3 linked regions of the Yarrowia lipolytica genome follow. The main gene of each other region encodes a partner of the protein of the gene in region 2 in a complex. Links are inferred from orthologs where the notes say so. Each region holds a gene or a part of one and is shown on either strand. Other genes may lie near its edges.

Evidence for each region.
Region 1: YALI1_F32546g (region 2) and YALI1_E06119g share a complex: the UniProt entries of both Schizosaccharomyces pombe proteins name them as parts of the SNARE complex. The link is inferred for Yarrowia lipolytica from reciprocal best matches to the Schizosaccharomyces pombe genes bet1 and sft1.
Region 3: YALI1_F32546g (region 2) and YALI1_D30224g share a complex: the UniProt entries of both Schizosaccharomyces pombe proteins name them as parts of the SNARE complex. The link is inferred for Yarrowia lipolytica from reciprocal best matches to the Schizosaccharomyces pombe genes bet1 and gos1.

The regions. Positions count from the first base shown.
Region 1 is NC_090774.1:606,369-616,926, forward strand, and holds YALI1_E06119g (uncharacterized protein), read left to right. Parts: upstream 1-5,609; coding exon 5,610-5,741; intron 5,742-6,336; coding exon 6,337-6,486; downstream 6,487-10,558. Other genes in the region: YALI1_E06065g (uncharacterized protein), read right to left, coding at 1-170; YALI1_E06068g (uncharacterized protein), read left to right, coding at 474-1,706; YALI1_E06109g (uncharacterized protein), read right to left, coding at 2,148-4,619; YALI1_E06137g (uncharacterized protein), read right to left, coding at 6,644-7,372, 7,588-7,647; YALI1_E06158g (uncharacterized protein), read right to left, coding at 8,185-9,486. UniProt on the Schizosaccharomyces pombe protein: Vesicle SNARE required for retrograde transport within the Golgi complex.
Region 2 is NC_090775.1:3,250,480-3,260,657, forward strand, and holds YALI1_F32546g (uncharacterized protein), read right to left. Parts: upstream 4,208-10,178; coding exon 4,197-4,207; intron 4,145-4,196; coding exon 3,676-4,144; downstream 1-3,675. Other genes in the region: YALI1_F32498g (uncharacterized protein), read left to right, coding at 1-508; YALI1_F32512g (uncharacterized protein), read left to right, coding at 733-2,298; YALI1_F32534g (uncharacterized protein), read left to right, coding at 3,016-3,540; YALI1_F32554g (uncharacterized protein), read left to right, coding at 4,985-5,383; YALI1_F32565g (uncharacterized protein), read left to right, coding at 6,103-6,837; YALI1_F32597g (uncharacterized protein), read right to left, coding at 7,279-9,240. UniProt on the Schizosaccharomyces pombe protein: SNARE required for targeting and fusion of ER-derived transport vesicles with the Golgi complex.
Region 3 is NC_090773.1:3,021,221-3,031,705, forward strand, and holds YALI1_D30224g (uncharacterized protein), read right to left. Parts: upstream 1,168-10,485; coding exon 508-1,167; downstream 1-507. Other genes in the region: YALI1_D30230g (uncharacterized protein), read left to right, coding at 1,724-2,164; YALI1_D30241g (uncharacterized protein), read left to right, coding at 2,853-2,975, 3,028-3,213; YALI1_D30249g (uncharacterized protein), read right to left, coding at 3,257-3,619, 3,774-3,839; YALI1_D30256g (uncharacterized protein), read left to right, coding at 4,317-5,123; YALI1_D30285g (uncharacterized protein), read left to right, coding at 7,210-9,483; YALI1_D30319g (uncharacterized protein), read right to left, coding at 10,179-10,485. UniProt on the Schizosaccharomyces pombe protein: Nonessential SNARE involved in retrograde transport within the Golgi complex.

The sequences.
Region 1 (10,558 bases), on a different chromosome or scaffold from region 2:
GTAGCGAGATTATTAAGCACGTACTTCATCATTTGGACGAGCCACGAGAGATATTTTATACGACAAAGACGAATTCGAGGTAGAATACTGGAACGGCGGGAATCAGTCAAGACCCGTACATGTACTGAAGTCGAACGACTTGAAAACTTGTATACACAGTAATTGTTCATAGTGGGATGTCGAGGTCCACATAAATTTCTTAATAGTGAACTCTAATTTTGTGAGGCAAAATTTATAGATAGTGTAGCCAGATCATCACAATATCAGAGGAATTGAAAATGATACAGTTGTCCAATGCTATTGTCAAATAGTTACCATTTACAATCTGCTTTCCTTGAATAAGTCCTACATCCGCAGTCTTCGCGATTCCTCTATCAGCACAATAACCTAACCCTGCAGCTCATCTGCAAAGCCTGAAAAAATCTGGTGCTCGAAAATATCTTTATTCAAACCCACGATACATACACACCAGCATGGCCAGCGACAAAAAGAGAAAGGCTTCGAGCAAGCGGCTGACGAAAATCAAGGTCGCTAAGGTTCAGGACGATGGAAAGGTGTTTCTTTCTGACTGCGGTCATTTGTCCATCCCTAAGGACGCCAAGTTCTCGTCCGTGTCTGACAATGGAGAGACCTCCATCAAGGGAAAAAGCTCCCGAATGCGATACACCAGTGTGCCTGTGGACCACGAGAAGTACTGCGTTGCCGTAATTTCCTCTAAGGGCTTGGCTGATCTGGTCCCCGCCGAAAGCATTGAGCTGAAGGCCATGTCCAAGCAACTAGCCAAGAGAGTCGCTGAGAACACCGAGCAGAAGTCCTACAGAGAACAGCGAGTCAACCTGGGTAACGAGTTTGGAACTCTCAAGGCAAAGAAGACCCTTGCCAGTTTGGCCCGAAACAACATTGATTCCAACGAGCTTGTTGACTTTGAGGACGATGTCGTGGAGGCTGTCGCTACTGCCACTGCCAACCTACCCACTCAAGAGCAGGTGTCCATGGCAATGGATGATGCCCGACCCATCCCTAAGCATAACCTCGAGACTCTGGATGTCAACGAGATCTATCCTGTTGAGGGATACCTCACCGACGAGGAGGCTGGGTACATTCGAAGCGAGGCCATTCTGGACGAGCAGGATATCGGCAAGCGAGTGGACATGCTTCCTTACCGAACCTCACAAATGGTGCGAGACAGTCTCTACAAGATCACCGACAAGACCGACGAGACCATGTACAAGACCTCTCTTCTCTATTATCTGTCTCTGCTGATTGGATTCTACCGAGATCGTCACGTCAAGAAGCGGGAGGATATCAAAACCAGACTCAACAACCCCCCAGAGTACCTCATCGACCAGATGCTCTACCGGTACACCACTCCCCTTTCTGGTGGTCACAAATCACAACGGTACCACACTTACATGGTCAACTCCAGAAATGAGGCAATGTTGCTGTGTACTATCATTATTCTTGTGCTGAGACTCAACAACAACGTTGTAGACATTCCCATTCTGTCGCAGGAGGTTGGAATCAAGCCTTCCAAGCTTGCTGACGTTTGCAGACAGGTGGGATGCGCCATTAAGAACGCCTCTCTGACTCACATGGATGATATCGGACGACCTCGAACCGAGGCTAGCCACTGGAAGATTGCCTCGCTCAAGGCTCCGCTTAAGCTACCAGAGCTTGCCCAGCGACGACGAAGAGCCAAGAAATAGACTAATGCATAGATTGATAATGGGTGGAGATTTGGATGAATCCGAGATGAAATATTCTTACAGCGAAGTAGAGAGCACTGCATCAACATTGCTCAAATTCTCACTCTGGTTGGCCATTAGGCAATGGCTCGCTTTGATCCAGTGAAAATCACAGCGGACCCCTCCAGCGACTCGACACAGCGATGTCGACAAGTCTGCTACTGACCAACAGTTACTGACGAAAAAAGTTGAATATACTCGGTATTTCCGAAAGTTTTGAGATGTACCACAATCACCACGGCACATGTAAACAAACACACAAGTAACAATTACTTGTACTGTGCGATGTCTCAACGATCCTGGTGAAAGTACACGCACATAAGAGTAGTAGATTGCTTCTAGAGCTACACGACACAATACATACTCACCTCATTAATCATTAATCTTATACATATGTGGAGCTTAGATAACCTCTTCGGCATCGCTCTCAATGTCATCTCCAAGCAGCTCGTCGTCCTCGTTGATATCAACAGGTGCGTAGTCTCTTGACCACGGTCGGTTGCTACTTCCAGAGTGGCCGAAAATGCCTCGAGCGAACTCGCCGACGCCCTTGAGAGCCTCGGGGATCATGGTGATACCTGCAACAACGTAAGCCAGGCCCTTAAGAGCCTGCTGGACGACAGGGTTGCTGGAGCTGGAGGAAAACGAGTCCTCATCGCCCAGTCGAATGACACCAAACTTGGACTGGTAGTGCTGGAAGATCATGAATCCAATGACACAAGCCATGGCAATAGGAACAATAATGACGAAGAATGTGCCGATGACACCAAGTCCACCACCATGCTTCTTGCTGAACTCGCCCTTCTTACCAGGGCAAGGAATTGCATCAGCCTTGTCGAGCTCCTGGCCACCCTTACAAGTGGACAGGGGGATTCGTCGGTAGCCGGTAGACTCGTAGTACTCAACGAGGTTGGGGTTCTCCTTGCATTGGAGGGCGTGATCAGGGGGACTGGCACCCTTGACAAGCTTACAAGTTCCGTCTCGGTCTCGGACGTAGTTGAAATCACACTCAAAGTCCTCTCGAGTGCACTCACAGTCCTGGACAACCTTGTGTGGTTGGATGAGCTGTCTGCCAATGTAGCACTTGGAGTCGACCAGCTTTCGGTAGTACTGAGTCTCGTGGCCAAACAGACAGTTGCTCTGCTGAGTGGGGTTTCTGGGAGACCACAGCTCGTAGTCATCTCGGTCAGGATTGGACTCGTCCAGCTTGCACTGTCGGTCAGAGAGGCCAGAGAAGTCAATGTGAACGGTGGTAGACTGCTCTCCCTTAGACCGGGGAGACTTACCAGTAAGCAGGAATCGTCGAGAGTTATCGTTGGGCACGGTGGAAATATCATCAACCTTGACAAGATCCTCAGAGAATCTGTAGGGGTTCCAGGTGACACCCTCATCGAGAGAGAAGAATACCTCGTTGGTGGGCTCCTCTCCGTCAACAATAACCAGAATAGAACCCTGGTCTCCGTACTCCCACATGTACGCTCCCTTTTTAATTTCCCTCCAAGTGATACCACCATCGACAGTAAGGTAAGTGTTTCCGTCGAGGTATCCCTCGAGGTACTCTCCGACGTTACCGACACCGATCATCATACCAACAGCAGAGGCAGACGTGTAAGTATCTCGGTAATCCTTTCGCTCGGTGAAGCCGTGCAAGTTAAGAGAGCACTTCTCCAGAGACTGTCCAGAACACGAGTAAGCCTTGCCTTCAGTGTCAGCGGGGGGAGGGTTCAGGTATGCCCATTGTCCACCATCGTTGTGGGTGATCATGGACTTGAGCTGCTTTCGCGAACCCCTGGAGGCCTGTCGGGCATTGATGACAATGTTGGAGACAGCCACACCCTCGAGGTTAGCCATCTTCTCAAAGTCGACAAAGCCGACTCGGTTTCGGTTAACCTCATTGAGAGAAAGCATAAACGAAGTACCGTAGGAGTTCGACTTGAGAATGGCGCCGTACTCGGAGTTGGCCTTTCCGTTGACGGTAACATGCAGGAAAATGGCGTGGGTGGTAGATTGCAGAACGGTGTAGGCCAGCTGTTTGGGGACCTTAAAGTCCGGAGGGAATCGAGCCACGGAAAAGGACTCACCGTCCACGGATGTCTGGCACTCGAGAGTCTCGTCCTCGTCATTGATGACGGCAACAACGAGGAACTCCTCAGCAAGAGCGAAATCAAGCACGTTCTCGTGGGTCACTCTTTGGTTTCGGAAGTTGTCAGTAGAATAAGCCAGTCGGGACTTCTTGACGCCACCCTCGTTGTACTCAAACAGACAGTACATGAGGTTGTTTCGCTTCTGATCCTTGAGTCCGTTAACGTACTGGCACATGATGGCTCCGTTGCCGACCTCGGTCCATCGGCCTCCGTTGTTGTTGGTGTAGTGAGTGACCACCTTACATCGAGGGGACAGCTCGTCTTCACAGCCTTCGGATCCGGTCCAGATGAAAGCGTCCTTGTTGTTTCGGTCAAAAGTCATCAATTGCAGGCCTCGCTGGTTCGGGGGAGCAGGTGTTCGGAACGACTTGAATGACTCGCCCTTATCAATGGTGAAAAAGACCTTCTCGTCGGGGGTCAAAAAGTAAACTCGGTTCTTGAAGTGGGGGTTGGGGTAGATGGCAATGATGTCCTCGCCCTTGAGCACCTGCTTGAAGGTCTTGCCCTGGTTGTAAGTGACATAGAGATCGTTTTTGGAGGTTCGCAACAGCACCACCTCGGCGTCGTCGGGAGACGCATTGGTCATATCGTTGGTGAGATAGTAGTGCTCAACAATGAGTCCCGAAAACTCGTTGATGGTGGAGCTGATTTTTGTGCTGAGGTCATCGTCAGCCTGCGCAAATAACGCCAGCGACGCCACGAGCACCAGTAGCCGTGTCAATAATCTCATTGTGTGGGTGTGGTGAGTGTGGTGAGTGTGGATGTATTATGCGTTGTCCCTGTGCGTCTACTGGAGATAGCTAAAAGGGTTCGATAAGTGGCTGTGTTCACGTGACCAACTGAAATTAAGCGGGTGTGAGCAACAGAATGTGATGATAGTGTGTAATCAAAGCAAAGAAAATGAGCTGATGTGAGATGGAGCTGTCGTCAAAATCCAGCTCAAACGTTTTAAATTCACTGTCGCTTCGCGTGGCGCTCGCTAAGGTGTATCGTCTTGCTAATGTCGTGTTCAGTGTGTGCCAAAACGGTAGAATTGTAGATCACTGGGGACAGCCGCCTATAAATGATTTCCAAAAAAGTGAAAAAAAACGTTTTCAAGGGCTCGGACCGGTGAAAAATTTACACTCTTTTTGTGTTTGGAATTGGGGTGGCTAGCCACGGACGGGGGTAGACACGCCCTGTGATTGGATAGCAAAGTCTTGGCTTTTTATCAGATGCGCATGCGTCTCTCATGGGCCATATAGAGGGACGTTTAGCAGGTGCTAGTGGATGAAAATGTAACGTATTCAGGTGCGGATTCGTCTTTGGTGGTCTCAAAACTCCCATCCCAACCTCGATCGCTATCCGAAACCGCCGTTTTTGCCACCCCAGGCTCCTCCCATCTAATGGTGTGGTGGCAATTATGCACACTCATCAGATAAATGTCTCTTTAGAATTCCGCCAAGCGCATGTTCTGCAGCGCTAACAATGTACTACAGGTGGCACTGGCGACCTCCGAAACTAAGGCTTCTTTCCTAAATCGAAAACCTCGGATTCGTCCCTATTATTGATGACTAAAGTAGTTGCACTCGGATGAGTAATCACCGAGACAAGTCTCACACTATCATGTTCGTATTTGGCCTCCCCCCGCTTATTCCGCACTAACCTTGTTGCGATCGCCTGCTCCTTTTGGCAGCGCCCGAACTGTATATGCCGAAACCTAACACACAACACACACACAATGTCAGCATACCAGCGAGAAGAGCAAAACAACACTCGGCTCGAGGAGCTGGCGTCGAAAATCTCGTCTTTGCGGTCTGTCACCAATGACATCCACGCTCAGGCTAGCGATTATTCGCTTATTGATTCCACGGTGAGTATGACGGAGAGTGGTGGTCCATGAGGTTGTCATGCGGAGACGCACACAGAGAGAGTGATAGAGAGAGGAGAATGGTGCTAGAAGTCGAGGAAGTACCCAAAAGATGTGGCGATGATTCCTTGATTCTGATCATATTCACGACGTGCCATGGTAGTTGATTATCTTGTTGAACTGGAGGGATCACATGCTCACGGGCACGCGAGATTATAAAGTATGTTTTCTCAGCAGGCTGAAGAAGACCGAGCACGACATTTCATGATCCGAACGGCTTGAATACTTGATCTGAATGAAGCTCTGCCTTCATCTGGCGGGTCTGGTCTCACTATCTTTGTTCTATTGGCTTGTTTTACGAACACCTCTGACTTAGGGGTGATCTAAGAGTACGAACTTGGATACTGGCATTCTCTCGATCTGCTGGTTTCATCTATGGTATTATTATGTGTCTAGGACGTCCTCAGCTGGCTTCAACTCCTTTTTCCTGTATCGTGGAGCAGGGGAACCTCAAAGGAATGCAGTACCGGGGCGATTGTACCCTTCCTAGACATTTCACCCAGTCCAAAACCTCACTTCTTTTACCCTACTAACCCAGACGGACACTGTTGGAAACATGATGACCTCGGTCCGAGGGTCTGCTTCCAAGCTTGGACGGTCGCTCAAGGCCGGACACCCCATCTGGCGAACTGTTGGCATTGCTCTGGCCATCATTCTCCTGCTGTGGTTTCTGTTCAAGTTTTTTTAATGCATGAGGAGAGTAGAAGTACTGGTAGTACCATGAGCGCGTTCGGCGCTGTGTTTATAACTAAGAAGATTGATCGTAACACCACAGTACCGATACCCACGTACTGATCTCATAATACGCAAAGCCTTATCCTATATAAACAGAGAGCGCTGTTTACTTACTCTCGTCCTCCACCAACGTTAATATCCTTACCCAGCCGGTAGTTGGAGATGGATTTGCCCCAGTTGATCTTAGATCGAGTCACGGGCAGCTGTCGTCGCAGGGCCTTAAACGAATCCTCGTTTAGACCGTTAAATGACTTGTTGAGCTTCTCCTGGAACTGCTGCTCGGCTTTGGAGATGGCGTCCACAATGTCAGATTCGGACACAGAACCAAGGTCCACCTTCTCGCTGGACTTGAGACGGACATTTCCGTCCTCGTAGTAATGCACATCCACGTCGATTGTTCCGCTCAGAGAGCCACTCTCGAAGATGTACACAGACCGCCACTTTCCGTTCCAGTAGTTGGCAGGGTTATACTTGCCATCCACAAGCACAAGGGCGATAGATCCGTCATCCTGAGGAAAAACCCCAGCAGCCCCCTCGGAGGGGAAGTGGGCAGAAAAGTACTTATCGAGAGCCCCTTGGATGGGCGAGTCAGAGCCATGGGAGCCCGAGGGGGTGGCCTTCTTTGTATCAAAATCGAACTCGAACTTCTGGCCACTCTGGCTGTCATAGAAGGTGTCCTTGGAAAGCTGGTTATATTTAGAGACCAGGGACTTGGACTTGCCGAGAGACACAACCATGCATTGGTCGAGAATCTTGTTGTGAACGTCGGTTTCCAGTTTGGACAGAATCGAGCTGTTTCCATCAACGACGGTGCTGATGGCCTCAACGACCTGGTTGAGCTGCGTTAGTATGGGGGTACAGAAAGACGTTCAATTGGATCTAATTAGCGGCCTGCAAGATATCAAGGCACGCGTTTCAAGTTCAAGTTCAAGCAACCGAAGTAAATGACGTGACAACATAACCCGTACATCTTGATACAGGGGAGACTCCGTATCAGGCCCGTGCTGACAGCGCACGAATCCTCAACATCCGTCCGCCAACAATTGATACTCACCTCTCCGGGAGGGGCGTCGGCCACGAAATCGGCCAGGGCTTCTTGGTTCGATCGAGACATTTGTGTGGTGTGTTGAGGAGATGGTGATGTATATGCACACCACCAACAGAGTTAGCATACGTGTGATAAGTGAGCTATTTTTGGACTGATATTGGCGGTGATGAGTGAAGGAATTGGAGTAGGAGGGAACAAATAGAATAATTTAGAAGAGTCGATAATATAACCGGTGCGGTTGTATTCGTCCAGACTCCGTTCTCGGACTTCGCAGTCTAGGAACAGCGGTTACTTGACAAACCTTATTAGTTGACCACTTTACTTACCGAATACTTACAGTGAAAGTTGGTATTACAGTATGCTGAAAAAAAAACAAGAATAGTACAGTCGTGCAGAAGTGAAAATGACGAAGTCACTTCACTACCAACTACAGTATTGAGCTTCTGTTATCCTTTTTATCCATTTCAACTATCTCCCATAGTTGTGAATGTATACGATGGAATTGTGCCTCAATCATTCCCTAAACTCCATATATTAAATGCGATTCTATAGTTTCCAGTTGTCGTTTCTCTTCATTCATGTTTTCTTCGCCCTTCATCCACGCTAGAACTTGGAGAGCCATGTCTGTCCAGGGACCAGCATCTTGGCTGCGAATACCATGAATCCTCCTACCATCATGGTAACTCCTGCAAACACCTGAAGTCCGACAAAGCTGGTATGTCCTTCGTCCAGGGTGGCTCCTGCAATAGGCATGGCAGTAAGAGCTGCCCAGGAGCAGAAGAAGGTGACTACACCCAATCGCCTCCCAATTTCATGTGGCTCGGACACTTCCGCCACAAGAGCTGCAAACAGACCAATATAGGGTCCAGAGATGAATCCGAAGACTCCAGAGAAAGTGAAGAAGGCCGCGTTGCTGTTGGAGGGGATCCAGAAAGCCAGAAGAATGATACCACAAAGAACACAGCATACGGAATGCATGTTGTAAGTACCCACCTTGTCAGCCATTATACCCGGCAAGATTCTACCCAGAAAGGAGGCTCCGTTGTAGATTGCCACGAGGTAGAAGGAGACTGTTTCAGACATGCCGTGGGAAATAGCGTGGGTGGACATGTATCCCATGGTTGTGACAAGTCCCCAATACGAAACAAACAGCGCCGCGGTCATCATAGCGAACGACTTGTTCTTGTAGGGTTCAATAACCTCTTGTCGGAAATTGAAGAAGTTCTTTCGTAACTTCTTGTTAGGAGGCAGTCGAGAAGAGATGCAAACACAGCAGATGACTCCCACTCCAAGCATGATGTATCCAATGACTCTCACAGTGTCATTAAATCCGATTTTAGGCTGTAGTTGAGAGAAGACGAATGGCAGGGTCACACCTCCAATCGACGAACCTCCAACTACCACACCCAGGGCGGTAGCTCGTCGTTTGACAAACCACGTGTTACACGCGACCATTGATGCGTAGTAGACACAGGAGTTTCCGATAGACGTGCAGATTCCCTGAGCCAGCAGGAACTGGTAGTATGTTTTGCACTCAGAGGTTGCCATGATTCCTCCCACTGTGAAGAGCATACCGACGATAGCCACCGGCCGAGGCCCGTACATCTCAGCTAGTCTTCCGAAGAAAACTCCTCCAACCAGCAGAATGAAGAACTGTAGAGACGTGATCCACGAGACGGTCGATGCCGAGTAGCCGTCTAGTTGATGATGCAGATAGTAGGCCTCGAAAAGACCCACAACGTTGATGTATCCAAATGATGAGTAGAGACCCAGAGCTCCTCCAACCATGGCGATCCAAGCCCGGCCCCTATCGGGCTCAGGGAGCTTCTGCACAAGGGGCTCTTCCTTCTCAGAGATTGAACCGCTGGCCACAACCAACTGGCTTTCCACTGATTTGCAGGACATGTCGGTGTTCGTGGCAGTATATTTCAGTGTATGTTATAATACCGAATCTACAGTGGCCGGGCCACTTCATTAAATACGCGCAACTTCTGCATCTGCTCCAACTGCTTTTCCGAGAACCCGGCCAAAGTTCAGCAGATCGTGGGGAAGTGACAAAGACCATGCAGCATGAAGCTGAGTGTGCGGCTAACTGTGCATATTCATGCCGGCACAAGTAGCTACTCGGATATACTTCACAGGAGGGAGTAAAAAAAAAGCAGCGAAGGATAAAACTGAGAGAAGAAGTCAGACGTCAACATGAAACTGAAAAGCTGAAGGGAAACTCACACCCATTTTTGGGACCTTATTGTTACAAATTGAGGACATCCAGCTATTCGACGTTGGATCTAGTTCAGTGATGCTAACCTTCCTCACGGCTATCGACTCGAAGACATGCTAGCCTACCCTATTTTGGAAACGGCGGCTATTCGTACAAGCGCCGGTACTTGGAGAGAAAAGGAAAAGAGAGAAGACTACAATATTCGTATGAGTTTGGATGCGGGCTTGGTTTGCTTTGGTATACACAGCAATAAGTGAGGGTCCTTACCGGTAGTACGCGATGCCCAGGGAACAAGAACCGTAAACACTAAGGTTCGTAGACGGATATACTAGACAAGAGTAGAGATGAGCAACAGAGACTGCAGGAAGTGCTTGAATACTACAACAGACGACGAGAGATACTTGAACACAGGTACATTTACAAGGTGTTAAATCTATCTACCGTACTTGTACAAGTACTTATCAGATGCTTAAACTATATTATATGAAAAAGACATCTCCGAAACCCAACTTCCAAAACCATCAACTTGAGAATTTGAGCTGGTCATATACAGCAGAAAATTCTCCATACCCTACGTAGTCATATTCACTGAAGATTCGACAAACCTGTATCTACTGTATATTGTACTATGGAATTGTGTTGCTGGTTATTCGGGACTGCTGGTGCCTGTGATATTCACCTATGTCAAACAGACAAACAGATACTGTAACTTGAAGTGCTTTTTAAACAACTTCAATCTAAAATAACGCTCTACAG
Region 2 (10,178 bases):
CTCCTCCATGCAGATTTTGGGGGTGTACAACAACGTCGACACCCCCAACAACTCGCCCTGGGGCCCGTCTATTGCCTGGCTGCAGAATTTCTACAACCCCTGGACTCCAGCTCTACCCAATGTCGGAGTCATGGCCGTCTGGCATGTATCCAACTACTTTCTTGGTCTGGTGGGTCGAACGCATCTGGCTGAAATCAACAAGTCTCACGGACAAATGGGACCCGAAGTGGCCCATCATATGCCTCCATTTGCGGTTTTATATGAGAACTTCCTTCGATCATCCTTCATCATGAGATGCATGACTTCCAATCTGTTTGGTTTCTTCTTTTTCCGGTTTGCTGTCGGCAAATCTTTTGGGGATGACCTGCAGATTGATTTCCCAGATCTCTGCGGCGCTATTGCTGTTGATACCGTGGTTAGATGTGGTATCAACCACTTGTACATTCTGTCCACCTGGATTATTGAGAGATCTGTTTACGGGGCTGACACAGAGGAGGAGGAGACGTAAATGTACATAGGTCTACATCGCTACATAGTTGCATTATTTATTTGGTATTCAAGAAAGAGAGACATTTTTTTCCCCTTTGAACTGGTGTGCTCGTTTGTTGCATTTGTACATCAGGAAACGCGTTTCCCTTCGTCATTCCACATTTTAAAACATCACACTCTTATCCTTAATGACCATCCTAAACGGTACATGTTGCTTAATAATCAAACCCTAATAACAAGAATATGCATGGCTGGACTCCCCGGCCAAATTCGTCCAGTACACATCTTTTACACCAGCAACAACCAAACACAATGTCCGCTCGACGCTCGAGACGCAATTTTGATGACGACACGGTGGAAGCGTCCAGTGACAGCGAAGGCAAAAAGCGCAAGTCACGGGCCGCCGACAAAGCAGCAGCCGTACCTGAAGAGGATGAGGAGGTCGAGGACTCGGATGGACTGGTGGAGTCCGAGGAGGTTACACGGTGCATTTGTGGCCACGAAGAGTTGCATCTGGACCGGGCTGCCAAGGCTCTGGAAATTGATCAGGGTCTGTTTATCCAGTGTGATTCTTGCTCTGTGTGGCAGCATGGCTACTGTGTGGGCATGTACCAGGAGTCTGAAGTTCCCGATGTCTATTACTGTGAGAAATGCCGACCCGACCTCCATCAGATTTTCCTACGGCCAAGCGGCCAGACGTCCATCTACAACAAGTCTGCCGACGACGATGAAGACGAAGAAAACGAGGATGGCAACGATGAAGGCAATGGTAGCCGGGCTTCGGTCAAAGAAGAAGAGCTCCTCCCGCCAAAGCGTCAGCGCAGCAGCCGAGCGTCTTCTTCGACAGCCTCAGACAGCGGCACTGGTGCAACACGCGAGTCTGCCCGCGACCCTCCCCGAAGCAATGGAGAGGAGCCTGCAGCTGCTAGTGGCCCCAGACAACAGTCCGGGTCCACCCCCGAGCAGGGAGGAAAGCGAGGTACGGGTAGAAGTCGACGTCCCGATTCTGCTGCTTCTGCCGCTGGCTCTGCTGATGATGGCTCTGAAGACATCTCTGACGCAACTGGCGAGGCAGGCCGTGACTCAACTCGCAGCAGACGCAATTCGAGCTCTCGTCGTGAGATAACCACCTCGTCGCGACGTCGCAACAGAGACACATATGAGGAGACTCTCAAGCGGGTGCTTCAGGAGAGCGCCCGCGAAGCAGGCAAGGACAAGGAGGTCAAAGAGGAAACCACAACGAGCAAGAACTCTACGACCAACAACAATAACGCCACAGCCAACAACAGCAGCAGTAGCAAAAAGTCATCGCCTGAGACTACTGGCACTGCTTCTGGAGCAGCAGCTGCAACAAATGGAACAACCAACGGGTCAGCAGCAGCCTCGGGAACGTCGGAAACGCCGAAGCGGAAACGCGAACAGGAACTCCAGGCAAAGTCGGATATGGACGGCAGCGACTCGATGGACTCGCCTGTGGCCAAGGCCCGGAAAAAGCGCAAGACAAAGACGTCGGTGGGTGCTGGAGGAGCAGCCAACTCGCCGAAGCCGAAGGAGACACCCGAATACAATGACGAGCGGCCATCCAAGCCACGGGTACCTCATTCACGAACTACAATGAGCGAGATGCGACGACGGGTAGCTGCGATACTGGAATTTATTGGCCGCACACAGATGGACATGGCCAGTGACCAGAACAAGATTGGAGATCAGGTGGTGCTTAGCTCCACCTCTGCAGATATGATGGATGGACTAACTCGCAAGCTGCTTCTGTGGGAACAGGAGTACGGTAGATATGGCGAGCGAAGGTGATTAACAGAATATACTTAATTTATTGTATCATTATTATTTAAAGGTATTTTGCCGTCGGAATAGCCGCTCCGCAAAAACCGTTGCACGTTGTGTGAGAGGAAACCTATTACAGGTAACAATTGGGGATGTGTCTCAATTTTGGGTATTGCGATAAGCTAATTGTAGCGGTTACTACCTGATCTACAATGTAGCTTAGTGTCGGTTATCGATCTCTATATTCGTATATTAGATGCCAAGAACAAGAAGAATAATGTATGAAGTAGACATGTCATTTCGCTTAGGTGGTGCTGTGAGCCTTTGCGGGGGCCACTACAAATAATAGGGAAGTTTTGTATGCGTCTGCCATGTGCATTGCTCCGCTACTATTCACTTCAACATTCGACGCGTTTCTACAGTCATGGATGTGAGAGTGGCTGGGTTTATATTACGAAAAGGCTCCAATATGTTGAAACATTTAGTACAAGTACCTGTAGCTTGTTTTCTACTTCTCCCCATTTCTCCATCCCTCCAAGAACACTCCACATCAAGCAATTAGCCGTTGGGAAAGCCGAAAGTACAAGTAAGGTAAGTTGACTTGAACTACAGGTACAGTATTAGCTGCCTCTAGGCTCTCTTATTTCTCCACCCAAACGCGCACACCATCGTTCATACCGACTTTGACAAACGTCATTGTTCTTACACATACACATACAACATTCACCTTCTGAATTACACACAATGGTCCATGCCGATTACTCTCGATTCTCGTCGGAATCAAAGTCCGAATTGTACGACACCATGGCCTCCAATGTGGAAGCTCTAGTTGATGGTCAGACCAATTGGGTGGCTAATCTTTCCAATGCCTCGTCGATCATCTGGCACGGTCTCAAATCGCTCCCCGAGCCATCCAGCGACATCAACTGGGCCGGCTTCTACGTGATTGATCCTAAGAAGTCTGAACAGCTGATTTTGGGACCTTTCCATGGTCAGGTTGCATGTCAGGAGATCCCTCTGGGCAAGGGAGTGTGTGGAGTTGCTGCCAAGGAGCAGAAGACCCAACTGGTCAAGAATGTGGAGGAGTTTCCCGGGCACATTGCATGCGACGGAGTCACCAAGAGCGAGATTGTAGTTCCCATTGTGTTGAACGGTAAGCTCTTCGGTGTCATTGATATTGACTGTGCCAGTCTAGAGGGATTCGACGAGGTGGACCAGCAGGGACTGGAGAAGATTGCCTTGATTCTGGCGAAGTCTTGTGAGTGGTAGCGACCATTCAGATAAGTTATAATGTGTAGAAATCAATACGATACAGTGTCTCGTTGTATACATACAGTGCAGTCTATCAATACATAAATAAGTCCTAAATACTGGCTGGCCCAACCAGAAAGCAGTCCTCCACAATCATCTCACCCAAACAAAGAAGAAACACAGGAAAATGAAGGCGAAGAGACCGAGCCAGACTCTCCAGCCAATACCGCTGTTGTCGGCCATGATCATCATTCGCTTGAAGGTGCCCTTGAGTTTCGTGGATGCATTTTCAAAAGTGTCCTCCAGGTTGTTGAGCAGGTGGCTGGAGTCCCGGATCTCCACTCCGATCTTGCTGGTCACGTCCTTCAGCAGCTGCACCTTAGCAGACAGACCCTCCATTTGCTCGTCGTTCTGGGACTCCAACTGCGACAGCATCGACGTCGAGTACTGCTTGTGGCTTTTAGGATCGTACTCCTCCTGCTCGGGAACGTAGGGCTTGGCCTCTCCAAAGGACGAAGACGACCCGGCGTACGGCTGTGGAGGTTGAGGGGTGTTGATTCGAGAAGAAGCCTGGCTGGAGGCTGGTGATCCGTATTGTGCCGAGGAGGCAAAGAGTTGATGTCTGAGTTAGTTGCTGTGCACGGAAGAGAGCCTTCATCGCAATAGGTACTCACCTTGAGGTCATTGCTGTTTGTTGGTGCTGAGGTTCTTAGACTTTCACAAACCTCATGCACATGAACACGCAAAATAAAGACACGATTTGGTTCCCATGTTAGCCAAATAAGGTTTCGTTGAGCCCACCTCGTGGTCATTATTTCGGTGGCGATAAGAGTCGTTGAAAAAAATGAGACATTGTAGTTGTTTTGACACGTCAATATTTTTGAGTCATGTTTTTCAATTGTCAGAATATCATTTCTCCGGAGCTATTTAGTTTGTTTGCTGTGTCCACTGTAGAACACCTCATTCCTGCTTACTGCATGAAAAAAATGAGTGCGTTGTGTCGATAGTCGATATGAACTGAGGCCGACTCAGAGGCATAGAAGGAGTGGGTGATGGGTGGAGAGCAGGGTGACATGTCTATAGTGGTGTTTGTGGTATTGATTAAGCAGCACTTCAAGAGTGAGTATGCCGTATATTTTACTGTAGACTGACCGTGGCTATTTCGGCAGATTGGTTGATTATATTTCGAAATATTACATAGATCAGAGTTAGAAGAAGTTTCTCATTCGCACAATACTATGAATAGTCTGTTACTCCATAGTCTCTATTTTTTATTATTATAATAACATAACTGTAGGTCTTCGGTCCTTCAAAACTACTTCACAGTAGTACAGCAGGTAGATGCCTCGCGCCATTACTCGTAATTGTAGTTCGTGAATAGAGTTCTGGTCCATTATCAACGAACACATCTTGCTACAAGTAGGTAACATTCACAATCTGACAGAAAAGAAACATTCATACAATGATCCCTTCAAAACACACGACTATCAAAGATCTAGACATTGTCACCTATGCATTCAACGACAAGATCTTCGTCAATATCCACAGCAAAGGAGCATACACTAGATCATACTATGTTCCCCTAAGACTATCTCCAGGCAATCAGTTCTTTGCACATACCGAATATGACGACGAAGGCGAAGACATCAGCAATCTGCCACTCACTCATCTCACTCCCATGTCGCTAATTGGAGGCTCCAATGCTGACACATTGGGTCAGATCATAGCTGTCCAGGTGGCGTCCCAGGTAGTCAAGGACTCGCCCACAGAGGTGCGAACTGTGTTTGTGTCCATCGGCCGAGTCAGTCAGGACGACTACGACGACGTTCTTGAGGGAGTCAAGCTTTGCCGTGTTTGGTAATTGATTATGGGTGTTGGATTGTGTGGAGGTGTGGGAGTGGTTGAAAAAGAGCCTTGTGACACCCGTCGATTCGTGTGCCTGCAGTGGGACTATCACCAGACTCTTTACGACGAGTCTGAGCTGTTATTTCTGCGGTTGACTATGGTACAACTACAAGTACTGTCCTGTACTTGATAAAATGACAGTCGACCCGGTACACACAGTGTAAGCACGTTCATCAGTTGTGATCGACAGCACCTACTGCACCTACAGCACCCCCCTAGGAACACAGGTGCTACCGCGCCCATAGCCCACACTTGTGATCATTGCACCAGAGGACAACTGAACTAGAATAAAATTTAATATCATTGCATGACTCTCGATCGGTCAGTCGAAGCGTGTTCTCTGATAAAGGCAAGCTGGGACAGAAACAGTGTGCCAGTACTTGTGGAGTAGAACCGGCTAGTATGAGAAAGAACCTGAGCCAAAGAAATTGGTATGAAATCAATCTAAGAATATTGTATACATATATATCGACACAAGCACTGACACTCAATCTCTGACGCCCATTTGATTCATCTTTGCTCGATAGTCAATATTCTGGGTTTATGCAGCTTACATGCAGTCCTGTCGATTAACAATTAAATTCTGCTTCGATATATATAAGGTCGAACCGCCTGGAATTACCGACGAACACCAAGCTTTTACTAACACTTTTTCGTTAACACACACAATACACAATGGCCGGAATTCAGCAACCATCCGGACAGATCAAACTGACCAACGTGGCTCTTGTGCGACTCAAGAAGGGCCGAAAGCGATTCGAGATCGCTTGTTACCAAAACAAGGTCCAGGACTGGCGTAAGGGAGTGGAAACCGACCTTGATGAGGTTCTTCAGATCCCTCAAGTCTTTGTCAATGTCGGTAAGGGACAAACTGCGCCTCGAGACGACATGAAGGCCGCCTTTGGACATACTGACCAGGACAAGATCATTCTGGAGATTCTCAATACCGGAGAACTCCAGCTTGGAGAGAAGGAGCGACAGCAGCAGAGCAACCAGCTGCAAACGGAGATCATCCAGCTTGTGTCGCAAAAATGTGTCAACTCCAAGACCAAGCGACCTTATACTGCAACCATGATTGAGAAGGCTCTGATTGGAGAGCTCAAGTTCAACATTGTGCCCAAGAAATCCGCCAAGATCCAGGCCATGGATGCCATCAAGCTGCTGGTGGAGAAGCAGATCATTCCCATTGCTCGAGCTCGTATGCGAATTCGAGTGACTGGCGATGTCAAGAAGCTGGGGCTAGGAGAGAAGCTCAAGACCGATATGGGAGCCACAGTCGAGGAGGAGACCCACGACGAGCTGGTCTGCTCCATTGATCCTGGTCAGTTCCGACCCGTGAACGAGTTTGTTTTGGCTGAGGTCAAGGGCAAGTGCAAGGTCGAGGTCATGGAGGTTGCTGTTCAGAATTAGCCAGTGATCAGATGCCAAGCAACTGAAGCAACTACCCACAGTCTGACATGGTGCCCCAACAGCGAAGCGCAAGCTCTCTATGGGCCTCCACTTGGGCCTCCACTTGTCTCTTTAGGACATGGGACATGATATGCGTGTAGCCTATTCCTCGGGGCTCTCTGCATATGGGGAACATGCCACTGCTACTTGTAGTACACAGATAGTTACAGTACTGTCAAAACACCATATATTTAATGTATATTTACAGAGCAATTGTGAAGGAAGTGGAAGAAAAGGTGTTTTTTTTGCTGTATAAAGTTGGTGTTCCAAGTAATTGGGGTAAAAAAGGGGTTCCCTGGTCGTCTTGTCACCTGGTACTGAATGTTGTTACAACAAAGTGCACATACTGTTCAAATGTCTGTCTAATAATCAATTTTCTATAAATACAAGGTACTAAAATACTTAGTCGACCTCCTCGACAGTGGGGCCCTCGCCGCCAGCGCCGGGAGGAGGAGCACCTCCAGCACCAGCACCGGGGAAGCCACCGGGGCCACCGGCACCAGGCATTCCGCCGGGAGCACCACCCTCGGCTCCGTAGAACTTCATGAGGATAGGGTTGGCAACACCCTCAAGCTCCTTCTGCTTGTCGGAGTACTCCTCAGTAGCACCAGACTGGGTAGAGTCAAGGAACTCAATGGTCTCGTTGATGGCCTTCTCGAGCTTCTCTCGGTCAGCCTCGTCAACCTTCTCCTTGAACTTCTCTTCGGAGAGGGTGTTCTTGAGAGAGTAGGCGTAGGACTCGAGACCATTCTTGGCGGCGATTCGAGCAGCCTCGGCCTCATCTTGCTCCTTGTACTTCTCAGCATCGTTGACCATTCGCTCAATATCCTCCTTGGAAAGTCGGCCTTTATCGTTGGTGATAGTGATCTGCTGAGTCTTACCGGTACCCTTCTCAACAGCGGAAACGTTGAGGATACCGTTGGCGTCGACGTCGAAGGTGACCTCAATCTGGGGGACACCTCGGGGAGCAGGGGGAATGCCGGACAGCTCGAACTTACCAAGGATGTTGTTATCCTTGGTCTGGGCTCGCTCACCCTCGAAGACCTGAATCAGGACACCGGGCTGGTTGTCAGCGTAAGTGGAGAAGGTCTCGGACTTCTTGGTGGGGATGGTGGAGTTTCGGGGGATGAGCTTGGTCATAACACCACCGGCAGTCTCAATACCAAGAGAGAGAGGAGCAACATCGAGAAGGAGAAGATCCTGAGTGGAGGAAGAAGTATCTCCGGAGAGGATAGCGGCCTGGACGGCAGCACCGTAGGCAACAGCCTCATCGGGGTTGATGGATCGGTTGGGCTCCTTACCGTTGAAGAAGTCAGAGACAAGCTTCTGGACCTTGGGGATTCGAGTGGAACCACCGACAAGAACGATCTCGTTGACGGCGGACTTGTCGATCTTGGAGTCTCGGAGGACCTTCTCGACGGGCTCGAGAGTACCTCGGAAGAGATCCTGACAGAGCTCCTCGAATCGGGCTCGGGTGATGGAGGTGTAGAAGTCAATACCCTCGTAGAGAGAGTCGATCTCGATGGAGGTCTGGGCGGAAGAAGACAGGGTTCGCTTGGCTCGCTCACAAGCGGTTCGCAATCGTCGGAGAGCTCGCTGGTTGGTGGAGATATCCTTCTTGTGCTTACGCTTGAACTCCTGGACGAAGTGGTTGACGAGTCGGTTATCAAAATCCTCACCACCAAGATGGGTGTCACCAGCGGTGGCCTTGACCTCGAAAATACCATCCTCGATAGAGAGGAGGGAGACATCGAAAGTTCCTCCACCAAGATCGAAGATGAGAACGTTTCGCTCACCAGCCTCCTTCTTGTCCAGACCGTAGGCAATGGCAGCTGCGGTAGGCTCGTTGATGATTCGCTGGACGTTGAGACCGGCAATAAGACCAGCGTCCTTGGTAGCCTGTCGCTGGGAGTCGTTGAAGTAAGCAGGGACAGTGATGACGGCATCAGTGACCTTTCCACCGAGGTAGCCCTCAGCGGTCTCCTTCATCTTAGTGAGGATCATGGAAGAGATCTCCTCGGGGGTGAAGACCTTGGTCTCACCCTTGAACTCCACCTCGATGTTGGGCTTTCCTCCCTTGTCAACAATCTTGAAGGGGAAGTGCTTGGCATCGTTCTGGACCTCGGGGTCAGAGAACTTTCGGCCAATGAGTCGCTTGGCGTCGAAGACAGTGTTGGAGGGGTTCATGGCGGCCTGATTCTTGGCGGCATCACCAATGAGTCGCTCGGTATCAGTGAAGGCAACGAACGAGGGGGTGGTTCGGTTACCCTGGTCGTTGGCGATGATCTCGACTCGGTCGTTGGCAAAGTGAGCCACACAAGAGTATGTGGTTCCCAGGTCAATTCCTACAGATGTGTTAGGCATTTTTGTTGTTGAAATGTGTTGTAAGGATCGAATTGACCGGAGACCCCTGGGGCTATATATACTTATCGCATGTCACGATGGACCTGGTCTCTGGAACATTGGAGAATATCTAACTCTATGCGCCATATGCACGCCTAGAGCCTATCTAAAAGTCAATTAAGCGACTTGGAACCTGTTGGAAATAATGTCGGGTGGTGGCAAACCCAATTGCGGAGGGCTGTGGAACTCCTTGGAAAAAAGGTGTTTAGGCACGCTGTACCTGGGAGAATCCCATGGAACACTAGTGACAGCCCATCGGATTTTGTAGTGGTTTCTGGAACTTTCCAGCCCGAATCGCCACCTTAATTGAACCCTTAGTAAAGCCGTTTGTTGTACATCACCCTCCAGGATAATCCGGCCTGCTCTGGTTGTTGCTGCTTTACTGTGCCAAGTGGTGTTCATATCCGATCAGGCGCTTCCACGAAGTGATGTCCTCTATGAGACAATTTCCGAGCCGCATGGCACAAGAGCCGCTTAACCTTAGCATGACGTCAACAGGCTGGATTGTGTGGCGATGGGCGACTTGGATACATTTTCGAGCGGGGAAACGTTGGCGAGGCAGACACTGGTGCTGAGTTGATTTTGTCTCAGTCGCGTTTCCTACACCAAAAAACCTGGCTAGTTGGAGACTGTTGTTATGTATACCACAAAAAATCGAATTAGAATTTTCCCTCACAAAGCACTCCGGAAGCACACCATGGTTGCTACCAAGAAGAGGGATTATTGTGGTAAGGTACTCGCAATTGAATAAAAATAAGACTTGATCAGATATCTCTATTTCTGTGGGGAAATATTCCGCCTCAGCTTCCCCATGTTCTACTCAGGGATCATCAACCACACCCCTCAAGGACTTTCCGTAGTCACAATCCGGTCTACAGTAATATGTAATAACAGGCAAC
Region 3 (10,485 bases), on a different chromosome or scaffold from region 2:
AAGCACGATATGAATCATCAATGAACATCACACACATCACATGCAAACCACACGACATATATACCAAAAAAAAAAAAAAAACAACAAAAAAAAAACAACCTGTAAAATGAATCCATATATAAATAATGTACATAGGGGTCAGTGTAGCCCCCTTCTTAGACTGTTCCCCCATTGTACACACTAGGGTAATACAATGACCGCAACAGGCACAAGCCTTACTGCGACGCTTAGTCTACTGTTAAATACATTCATCTATTTCACCTCACTCTAGCAGCAGAGAGCATACCTAATGAATCTAGCAGCTACTGTTACTGTTTGCGCCACCCTTAGCGAGCGCCAATTTGTTGTGTTGCGCTCACTTCTTGGTCCATAGGCAACTTCCATCAGGGCCAATTCCGTGGGCTTCTTCTGTAACATATCCTGTGAGACCTCGCTCTGAACGTTGTGTCCCAAGATGCTCCCAGAAAAAAACAACAAAATAACCCGTTTGTTCGAAGTTTACTGTTGCTATCTCAGGAAGAGAATGAACAAAATACCCAGGGTGATAATAACCGCCAGAATCAAACTGTCTCGCTTCTTCCGGGTGTTAATCTTGGAAATGACCGTGTTAATGCCTGGAATGCTGCTAGCCGTGTTAAACAGCCGACGCTGGATGTTGGCCAAACTCGCCCGCTGGGTCAGCAGCTCCTCTCGAGTCGCATACGCTTGAGCAAGCAGAGTATCGGTCATGTTATTTGAGTTGTCCACCCGGCCTCGCTCGTGTAACATGTACTCCTCCTCGGCCTGGGGAGTAGCACTTCGGTTTCTGTGTCCCTCGATATCCGACCGCACCGACGACAGCAAGTTGGCCCGGTCTCGTTCCTGCTTGATTCCAGCGTTGATCTTCTTGTATTGCGATCTGTGCTCTGCGAGAGTCTCTCTGTGGCGTTGCAACTGGCCTGTTTGTGTTGCTGTGGCGTTAGGGGTGGAATCCAGCAGACGTTCGAACGACTCCAGGGAGTCGGCGGTCTTCTCAATTACCTGCTCGATATCCCGTCCAATCCGTACCTCGTCTTCGGAGGCTGCTATGGCGTGAGAGGTGGCAAAAGAGGAGTACTCCGAGAGCAGCTCTGCAAGCTGAGACTCTAGCCGTCGCACTTGTGTTCGCGAGCTCGATATGGTCGCCATAATTGGGGGGCTTTGTGGTGTTTTTGGTGGTGCTGGAACTTAGGTACACGTAGCGACAGGTATCGTACCGTGACGCACATGCAGGTGGGAGTTGACTGCATGCACGATACAGTATGAAATTAGCGAGATGATGCTTGTGAAGCAAATAATAGAACAGACAATACCGGGACGGCGACTTAGGCTGAGGGAAGGGGGTTGAGAATACAAGGGACCAACATAGGACACTTATACAACATACACACACATATATATATATAATATATATATATAGAGGAATCCCTAATAACCCCTCATTTGATTACATAAGGTGAGTGATCACTTGTAGAAGGGGGAGATGGTGTAAATATAAGGCGGATAAATACAAGTATTGGTTCTTGCAGTCAGGTAGAATAAAGCTCGCAAAAAATGACTTACAGCTCTCGACTAATACCGAATAGGTCGTATGGTGGACCACAAGCCTCCTCACCATTTCCCTTGAAGCGACTTGTATCATGTCGACCCTAACCCATTACTCTGATATCATGCACGATTTTTTAACCACCATCAACATATCAGCATGGGCAAGACCAAACGAGAATCGGCTCTTGTGGAGAGCAAGCGGCCTGCGAAAAAGTCCAAGACCGATGGCGACGAACCCACCCCATCGCCAACGCTCTACGTGAAAAACCTCACCGACAAATGCACTAAATCGGACCTCAAACGGTACCTGTACATGCGATTCAGCTCGTACGGACACATTCTCGACATTGTGGCGATGAAAAACGAGCGGATGCGGGGCCAGGCACATGTGGTATTTAACGATATCGATGCGTCGATCTCGGCGCTCAACGGGCTGCAGAAGAGCGAGTTCATGGGCAAAGAGATGGTAATTGAGTATGCTCGATCCAAGTCCCATGCCATTGCCAAGTTGGACGGCTCGTTTACCATTCCCGAACCTCCCGCATTCGAAGAGAGTGTTCTTCCGTTGGCACCTTTTGAGGATGTCACGGCAGAGTAGCGGCAAATCGAACGCAGTGAGCATTGGACTCCTCGGGGGCCAGTGACTCGTGGACGACTTGTGAAACATCGCAAGTCACAAGCCGCGAACCTGCTCTATACAAGCTTCTTGCGACAGTCGAAACGGCAGAAGCATCTGCATCTTTCAGATCATGGGAGATGAAGCGGTTGGCAGGCATACTATGAGCTTGTCATGATTTCAAACCAGGGAGGATTATTTATTGTATAATAGAAAAGGTGCATGGCACCGGATGACGTCATGAACAAATACGGATGAGATGCTGGATCGAAAGAGTAGTTGATCGGTTATGTTCTCCAAAGCACTATCCACTACAACCTCAGTTCAGTGGCCCACCAGTAGTCGGTATCGCAGAGGCACAGAATGGCGAGAGCTGATTCCTACAATGACAGAATGCTGTAATAGAAGCAATCAATCAATTAATAACATAAGAGACTCTTGGTCGGAGCTATCAAGGTGTTCTTGACGACGAGAATGAAATGTCTCTAGAAAGCAGACCGGCAACTCTTCTAACAGCTAGTTCCTGTTGATGTAACAGACGATAAGTGTACTTGGTTTGGTAGGACAAATCACAGGAGAGCTAGAACTAGCCTGTCAATATCTAGCAGTACTCGACTGAACTACTCGTCTGCTGATTCACGTTCGAGACCATGATTGACGAACCTGAGCAATGCGTTTGTCCGTCAACCAACAGAAGAACAGAAGAACCAGTCTGTGCTGCAAGCAATCCTTTCGAAGAACCGCACGAGTAAAATACTTGGACTCTGAACACGTTTTGCATCAAGTATCATATGTCTAGAACATAGGTGTCAGGCGATTGGACATCAGATCTCTTGACATCAGAGCTTTCGACATCAGAGCTCTATCTTGATAGACCAAAGTCACTCTCAGAACCACCAGGGCCAGGTTCGAAGCCCTGGAAGACGTTCAAGACCAAATACACAGGAATGACCAAACAGAACAGACCCCTTGGACCCGGCCTGGGTGAATCCCTGACTCACAGTTCCATCACCCCCGATATTCAACTGTAGCGTAGCTCCTTGATCAGTCATCTCAAACCGCTGGTGAATCTCATCATCGCGCTCGTCGATGAAGACCAACGATTCGGCCATAACTCTCCAACCACACCTCCGCCTCACTCCTCTTGTGCATCTCCTCATCCTGCATCACCAGATCTACCGTCTCCCTCGTTTTACAAGGATGCAGAAAAAACACGGGCAAACCGGTGTGAGGATGCTCACCTTGAGTGATTGCAATGTCAGGAGTAATTACCACCCCAAACTCCGCCATAAACGCCACAAAATCGGCCAGTAACGTCACGGGCTCGCTGTCTCTATAACAGCTCATATATACCACCGGACACACGTATATGTGCGACCACAAAATGTCATATTTGGCCGTTTGGTGTGAAGGCCCTATTCTCGTGATCTGGAGGTTCTGAGTTAGCCTTGGGTACGAGCGAGTACGACAGGTTGGTCATGACGGACGTACACCTGAGGTGCGTGGCAAACGTTGCGGCTTTTGGCCGACGAGGCTGAACTTGTAGAAAAAACGACTTGTGGAGCACAAAGCTCATAACCTGTTAACTCACCTGGTCTCTCCATCTCACGTGACAGTCCTCGGGCCACCCGTCTTGCAGCTCCTTGAATCCTTCCATATTCTCTACTCGTATTCCTGGGTAACGTGTTTGTTCCGGGTTATTGGGAGTCGGGACCGAACAACCACTTAGAGTGCGCCAAATGTGTGCTTGTGCGTGGAGGTAAAATAACGTCTGGAGGACAATGGGGACAACAGAGCGCGTTCAAAGCGGTCTAAAAGCGGTCGAATTTGCGCCGGAAAAGAAATATAAGGAAAACGAAGCATGTTTAGAAGTATGGCGTGCTCGTATTGCACATTCGTCCACTCAATCGCCCAGCACAAAGAACCCTTCTCCTCCCCATTTCACTTCCCCAGACAGCCCGATTTCTCCCGAACCTTAACCTAAACACCGCTCAGCCAATCACAACTCTGCTGATTCAAGCGCTCCCAAATGGACGGCCGTGTGTGCATTCAGCAGTACATAGTTTAGCCTTGGTCCCCTTCTCTTCCCCAGTTTGTTTTTTCTCTTCCACACAACTAACCCACCCATCACACAATGTTCGCGCTCCGAGCCTCAAGAAACGTTCTGAAGAGCCGACCCGTGTTCGCTCGAGGCCTGGCCTCCACCGCCGAGGCCCCTAAGGTGCCTGCCCCCCGAATCAAGAAGTTTGGCATCTACCGATGGAACCCAGACACCCCCGAAAAGAAGCCCGAGCTCAAGGAGTACGAGGTCGACCTGTCACAGTGTGGCCCCATGGTGCTGGACGCGCTCATCAAGATCAAGAACGAGCAGGACCCCACCCTGACGTTCCGACGGTCGTGCCGAGAGGGCATCTGTGGCTCCTGTGCCATGAACATTGAGGGCCGAAACACCCTCGCATGCTTGTGCCGAATCAATCCCGACATCGCCAAGGAGGAGAAGATCTACCCTCTGCCTCACATGTTTGTCGTCCGAGACCTTGTCCCTGACCTGACCCAGTTCTACAAGCAATACAAGTCCATCGAGCCCTACCTGCAGCGAGACGAGGTCCCTGCCGACGGTAAGGAGAACCTGCAGTCCATTGCTGACCGACGAAAGCTCGACGGTCTCTACGAGTGCATTCTGTGCGCCTGCTGCTCCACCTCGTGCCCTTCGTACTGGTGGAACCAGCAGGAGTACCTGGGCCCCGCTGTCCTCATGCAGGCCTACCGATGGATGATTGACTCTCGAGACGAGGCCACCGCCAAGCGACAGCAGATGCTCGAGAACTCCATGTCTCTGTACCGATGCCACACCATTATGAACTGCGCCCGAACCTGCCCCAAGGGTCTCAACCCCGGTCTGGCCATCGCCAAGATCAAGCGATCCATGGCTTTCGTTTAAGCTGAGTGGCTAGAAGGACATGATTATTAACACAAGGAGGTGAAAATATAATACACGCGTCGTCATGCAGACGCGTGGCTTAGATAGCATGAATGGCATTCTGAAAGTGAGGAGGAACCCGAACGGTTCCGACAGTACAGTACCAGTAGTAGGGCGTGCATGTGCCAACTTGTATGACTATATGAATTGTACTCATACTAACACGTATGAGCAAATTGATTTGCGTGATTGGTACTAGTAACTGAGCAAGTACCGGTGGAATTCGTAAAGAATTCGTAGGGTGGCAAATTACATCAATTGGGCCGCTGGTTGCTGTGTATGGTGGCCATTTTCATATTTGAAGATCACATCAGTGAGGTGCGAAATAAAGTTTCATGTACCGAGGTTCATGTGGAGGATATTGCGTTGGCTCTGGCGGCTGATATAGGCGTGCTAGAAGACTTGTGAATTTTCACAGGCCCTATGGACGATATTTTAGAGCTCCACATCAAGACACCAAGGATTTTGGTGCATTTTTGAGCTAGTTGGTGAGGCGGGTATGATTATGTCATATGCTTATGTACACTCTTGTACATACAGTGAGAGCAAAGCTTCTGTATGTAAGGAGATATGGAGCAATTAGGAGGGGTTGAGACGGGTGGAAATTCGGGTGTTGGATTGCTTTCTATTTGTACTGCACTGTAGTACAGTAATATGTCTTTCTTTCACAGGTTACTCCTTGTACGTGTCTTGGAGTTGCCGTGAGTAAGTGGTCCTAAGAACCACGGCGGAATTTCGAACTTTTGTATCGAGATTGTGTAAGAAGAATGGGAAGGGAATTTTGATTCGAATGGTATATTTTTATTGGTACTTTTCATAGAAGTATTGCTAGTTGTGAGTGTTGTTGATGGTGCTGTTGTGCAGTGCCTCCAAGTCCAGTCCAAAGGCATATCTTATTACGCCGCCGTGTAGATACTATAGTTGTAATACATACAGTAGCTCCGTAGCATGTACAAACGGTACAAGTACAAGCACCGGAACTCGTGTGTAGGACGCCGAATTATTGTTTCATGGCGATAACATCTTATGCCTGGTTATAATACATTTGTATCGGTGCGTGTTATGAGATCAATTCATCAAATATGTCTTGTTTTATTTTGTGGATGTTTTATTTTCTGGATGTGTTATCTTCTGGATGTTGTGTCTAATTTTTACAATTTAATCTCAAAATTTCAAAATCCAAAATCCAAAATACTGCTTGTTACCTTTCGTATATATTTGCACCGCAAAAAATCACCCAGATATCTCATATCCGGTTGCATAAAATCACCCCATATATCCCAGCGACTAATCAGATAAATCACCTTCCCCTCCCCTGGACATAACGTTCCACCACCCTCGCTATTACGCTCCGCATTAGGGGGCCATAGAACCCTTCGTATGGCTTTGACAAGCTGCGTTGATAACGCATGTGAGAGACAGGAGGTTTGGGTGATACGGGAAGGCCAGGAGACTCTACTCTACACGCGTTCGATTGATCAGAAAGTCAGGCGGCAAACTCAGCAGCAACGAGAGAGCACGTGACCGAAAAAAATAATCGACAATACAATACTACTATGTCAGACATGTCTAAAGAACCAATCTTGTCTGTTGGCAGGATTACGGTTACCAGGAGAGCTTCAACTCTGATCCGGTATGTGGGGAACATGATGCACTATGGCCATGTGGAGGACTAGTGGTAGGTGGGCGTAGTTTGATACAGTAGTGGCTGTGACATGAGAGTGATAGGTGATAGAATGGTAGTTATAGGAGGAAAGAAAAAGTAGATGAGTGAGGGAGAGAGATCACCCACCGGTTGTACAGGAGGACCACACAGGCTGAAATTGGTGTCTCGTCTCATTATATCCTATGTAGGGTAGCGCAGTCAGGGTCACATCAAAGGGTCAGACTGTACTTATATACGTGCCATTTGCCTTACTGCAAGCGCTTTGTGCTGTATGTAGTGTAGTGTAGCTCAAGGGTCACCTCAAAGCATATAAAGAGACACAAACACGACACGACCTTAACTGGAAGGGCCACACCCGTCGTTACTCCATCTACTTTGGACATGGCTCTCGTCATTTCTTATCTCATCAACGGCCACAAAGCCCGCAAAAAAAGAGCCACAGAAACGCCAGCGATGCACAGCCGCCGCTCGAAAGATATGTATGCCCATCCGGGCATTCTTCACGCCAAGTCGCTGCTTCCTCGAGCAGCAGCCTCTTGTGTTTCAGCAGCAGCAGGGTTCGCCAACATTTGCATCCGGCTCGCCACATATGCGGCAGAGACCACAGTAGAGTCTGCGCGGGTCTCGACCGTGACGTCATTGGCTCTGTCTGTCAAGGCGATCGAAGGACTCATTTCCAAGGCCAACCAAGATACCCCCAAGGCCGAGGGCTGGGCGGAGCTAGGAATAAACACAGCCCAGCAGACAGTCACGCTAGTGCAACTGTTCACATCCATCTCGTTCCACTTCACGTCAACGTCGATTCACACGGTCTCGTCGTCCACCCAGGACGTGATCCACGTGATAGACTCTGTGTTTGGGGACTCAGAGTCCTCCAGAGCAATCAGATACATTCTAGGCTTGGTGCGGCGCGAACTGGGCCAGCAGGTGGGCATCTGGGAAATGTTGTCAGCCATGGTATGCTACTCCGTCGCCCATCCACGAACCTGGAACAACATTGAAGATGCGGAGACCCAGCTGCTTTGGGACGTGGTTGTCCTCGAGACTGGAGTCACCATCTCCCAGCAGCTTCCCGACTCCGACCCTACAGATAGCTTCAACGAAGAGCAGGCCGTGGCACTGCTTCCCCCTGACGCCAGATACTCTCTCACAATCACTGAGGAGAGTATCCGGTCGGTGGCCATCGAAGTAGTGGCCAAACGCCTGCCTCCACACATGGACGTGCCCCGAGATGCCCGCATCGTCTACGAAAAGTGGCAGCGACTGGATGATAACAACATCAGGTATGAGCTCAAGTTTGAGAAGAGCGAAAAGACCTTCCGGGAGAGAAAAGGTATTGCTCGACTAGAGCCCCACGAATGCGACCACGTGACTGACGCTGTCATCAAGACGCCTGATGAAACGTTTAGAGAAGATGACAATATCAAAGAGTCGATCCAGACCCAACGGATCTCGTCCCGGTCTGTTTCCGAAATGGGAATCGAGAATCTGGTCCCTCGAACAGGCGAATACGAAGTGTACCCTCCAGGACACCTCACCAAGAACCTGGCTCGGTACGTGCGGTTCTCCAGTGCCTCTTATGGGCAGTCATTCATGAGACTTTTGGGTATTGGACGGTTCGATGTGCCTTTCAGCACCACTGGAGCCCATCATTCCGAGCATTATGCGTTTGCTCATCATGCTGGGGTCAGTCTCGATCAGATTTTGTTATCCAGCTATAGCGACAAGGTGGTGGATACTTCCAGTGGCATTCTGTTGGATCATTTCATTGTTGTGGACCACGATCCCAAAGCGGTCGTTCTGACAATCAGAGGAACCTGGGGTCTAGATGACGTGCTCACCGATCTGGCGTGCGAGTATGAGAACTTTGAGATCCACGGTTCGTCATACAAGGCCCACCACGGCATTTTGAGATGTGCCCGTAGCATGATTCGCAAGAACAGCCGTGTTCTGAAAACCATCAAAACCGCCATGGACGGAATGGGCCCCGAGTATGGTCTCATAATCTGTGGCCATTCTCTTGGTGGAGGCGTTGGAGCACTACTAAGCATTCTTCTAACAGTATACGACACCGAGATAGATGATTTTGTCACCTCCGAGCAGTCCATGCTGCCCCCTGGTAGACGGGTTCATTGTTTCACATACGGCTGTCCCCCTACCATTTCAGAGCAGCTGCGAATCATGACCGAGCGACTCATCACCTCGGTGGTGTACGGCTGCGACATTGTGCCCAGCTTGTCTCTTGGCATGCTCCAGGACTTCCAAGCCATAGCTCTTGCATTTCGCGATGAGAAGCGCGGGGTTGTGGGCGAGACCAAGAAGCGGCTGTTTGCCCAGCTGGCCACCAGCAGAGTGCCGTACATGTATCGGCAGGATGACTATCTGTTGACCTTGGCCAAGACACTGCGGGGCCTGATGCAGAATGAGAAGCTTGTTCCTCCTGGACGAGTGATCCATATTTCTACCAATGTGTTGCTAGAAGTTCACCAGGGCCGAACCAAGAAGGCCAATCGCGTGGTTGGCAAGGTTGTGTTGGATGTGGAGCGGCGGTTTGGGGAGCTTGTTCTTGGGAAAGGTGTATTTGATCACTCCCCGATTTACTATGAGCAGGCCTTGAATACGTTGGAGCAGGGTGTCAACTCAGCCCCCAGGTAGCACTAACGACCAATTGCCAACTGAGAATAGCCCCATAAACCAACGAGATAGACTCGTGCCACCGCTGCATCCAACACCCAGATCATGATCCCCATAGATTCATGCATATAGCTACTCAAGATTATATTAGATGATTAATTAGCCGTGTATGGCAAGTAATTGATACTGTAAAGTAGTATATTACGGCGATACTCTAACCCAACTGAGACAGATCTTGCAACAATGTTACTATGGTTGTGCGGATGTGGCTTCATCGAATGAAGTCGACTTGGAGGACTCTTAGATATATCTGCTCCGTAAAAGCGTTGGTTGATGACAGTAGTGACATATTCATGGCAAGTGTAGTTCGGAAATAACCAAAAATGTTGCGGGGAGGTTATACGAAGCGATGTGTACCATTAGTGATGGTAATGACACGGGAGAATGCGATTGAGCGATGGATAACACTTCGGTTTACGATACAGTACATAGATACGTGTAAGCAGATATCGTGAGAAGAGTATGTTACTGTACAACGTACGGTTAGGAACCACAACCTTTACTGTGCCCAGACAGTGGTTGTGCTCAACAAATATAATACATTGGCTAGCATTTTGAAACCCGGCAATGTACAACGTGTACGGTAAATGCCTCAGGTTGGAATTAGTGTGGTAGTAGCGAGATGAGAGCAGAGAGAGGTGGGGCAATCGAATCGATTACGACCGGTAAGTGACCTTCTGGCCGCCTCGTCGCTCCATCTTCTCTTGTCGCTTGGACTTGGGGATCAAGCCTTCGTTGGCTGTGGAGCCTGAGGAACCGGAATGTTTGGGTCTGTTCTCGGAGTAAAGAGTGTAGGCCTTGACGACGGCGTACAGGGGGATCATGATGTACAGAGCAAAGCCCCAGTTGGAGGCGAGCACGGCGGACACAAACTTGCAGATCCAGGTGACGTAGACAATGTCCTTGAGGTACTCCATTACTCCTCGCTGGGACAGGTCTTCTCCGGGCCTGATCAGACCTCCT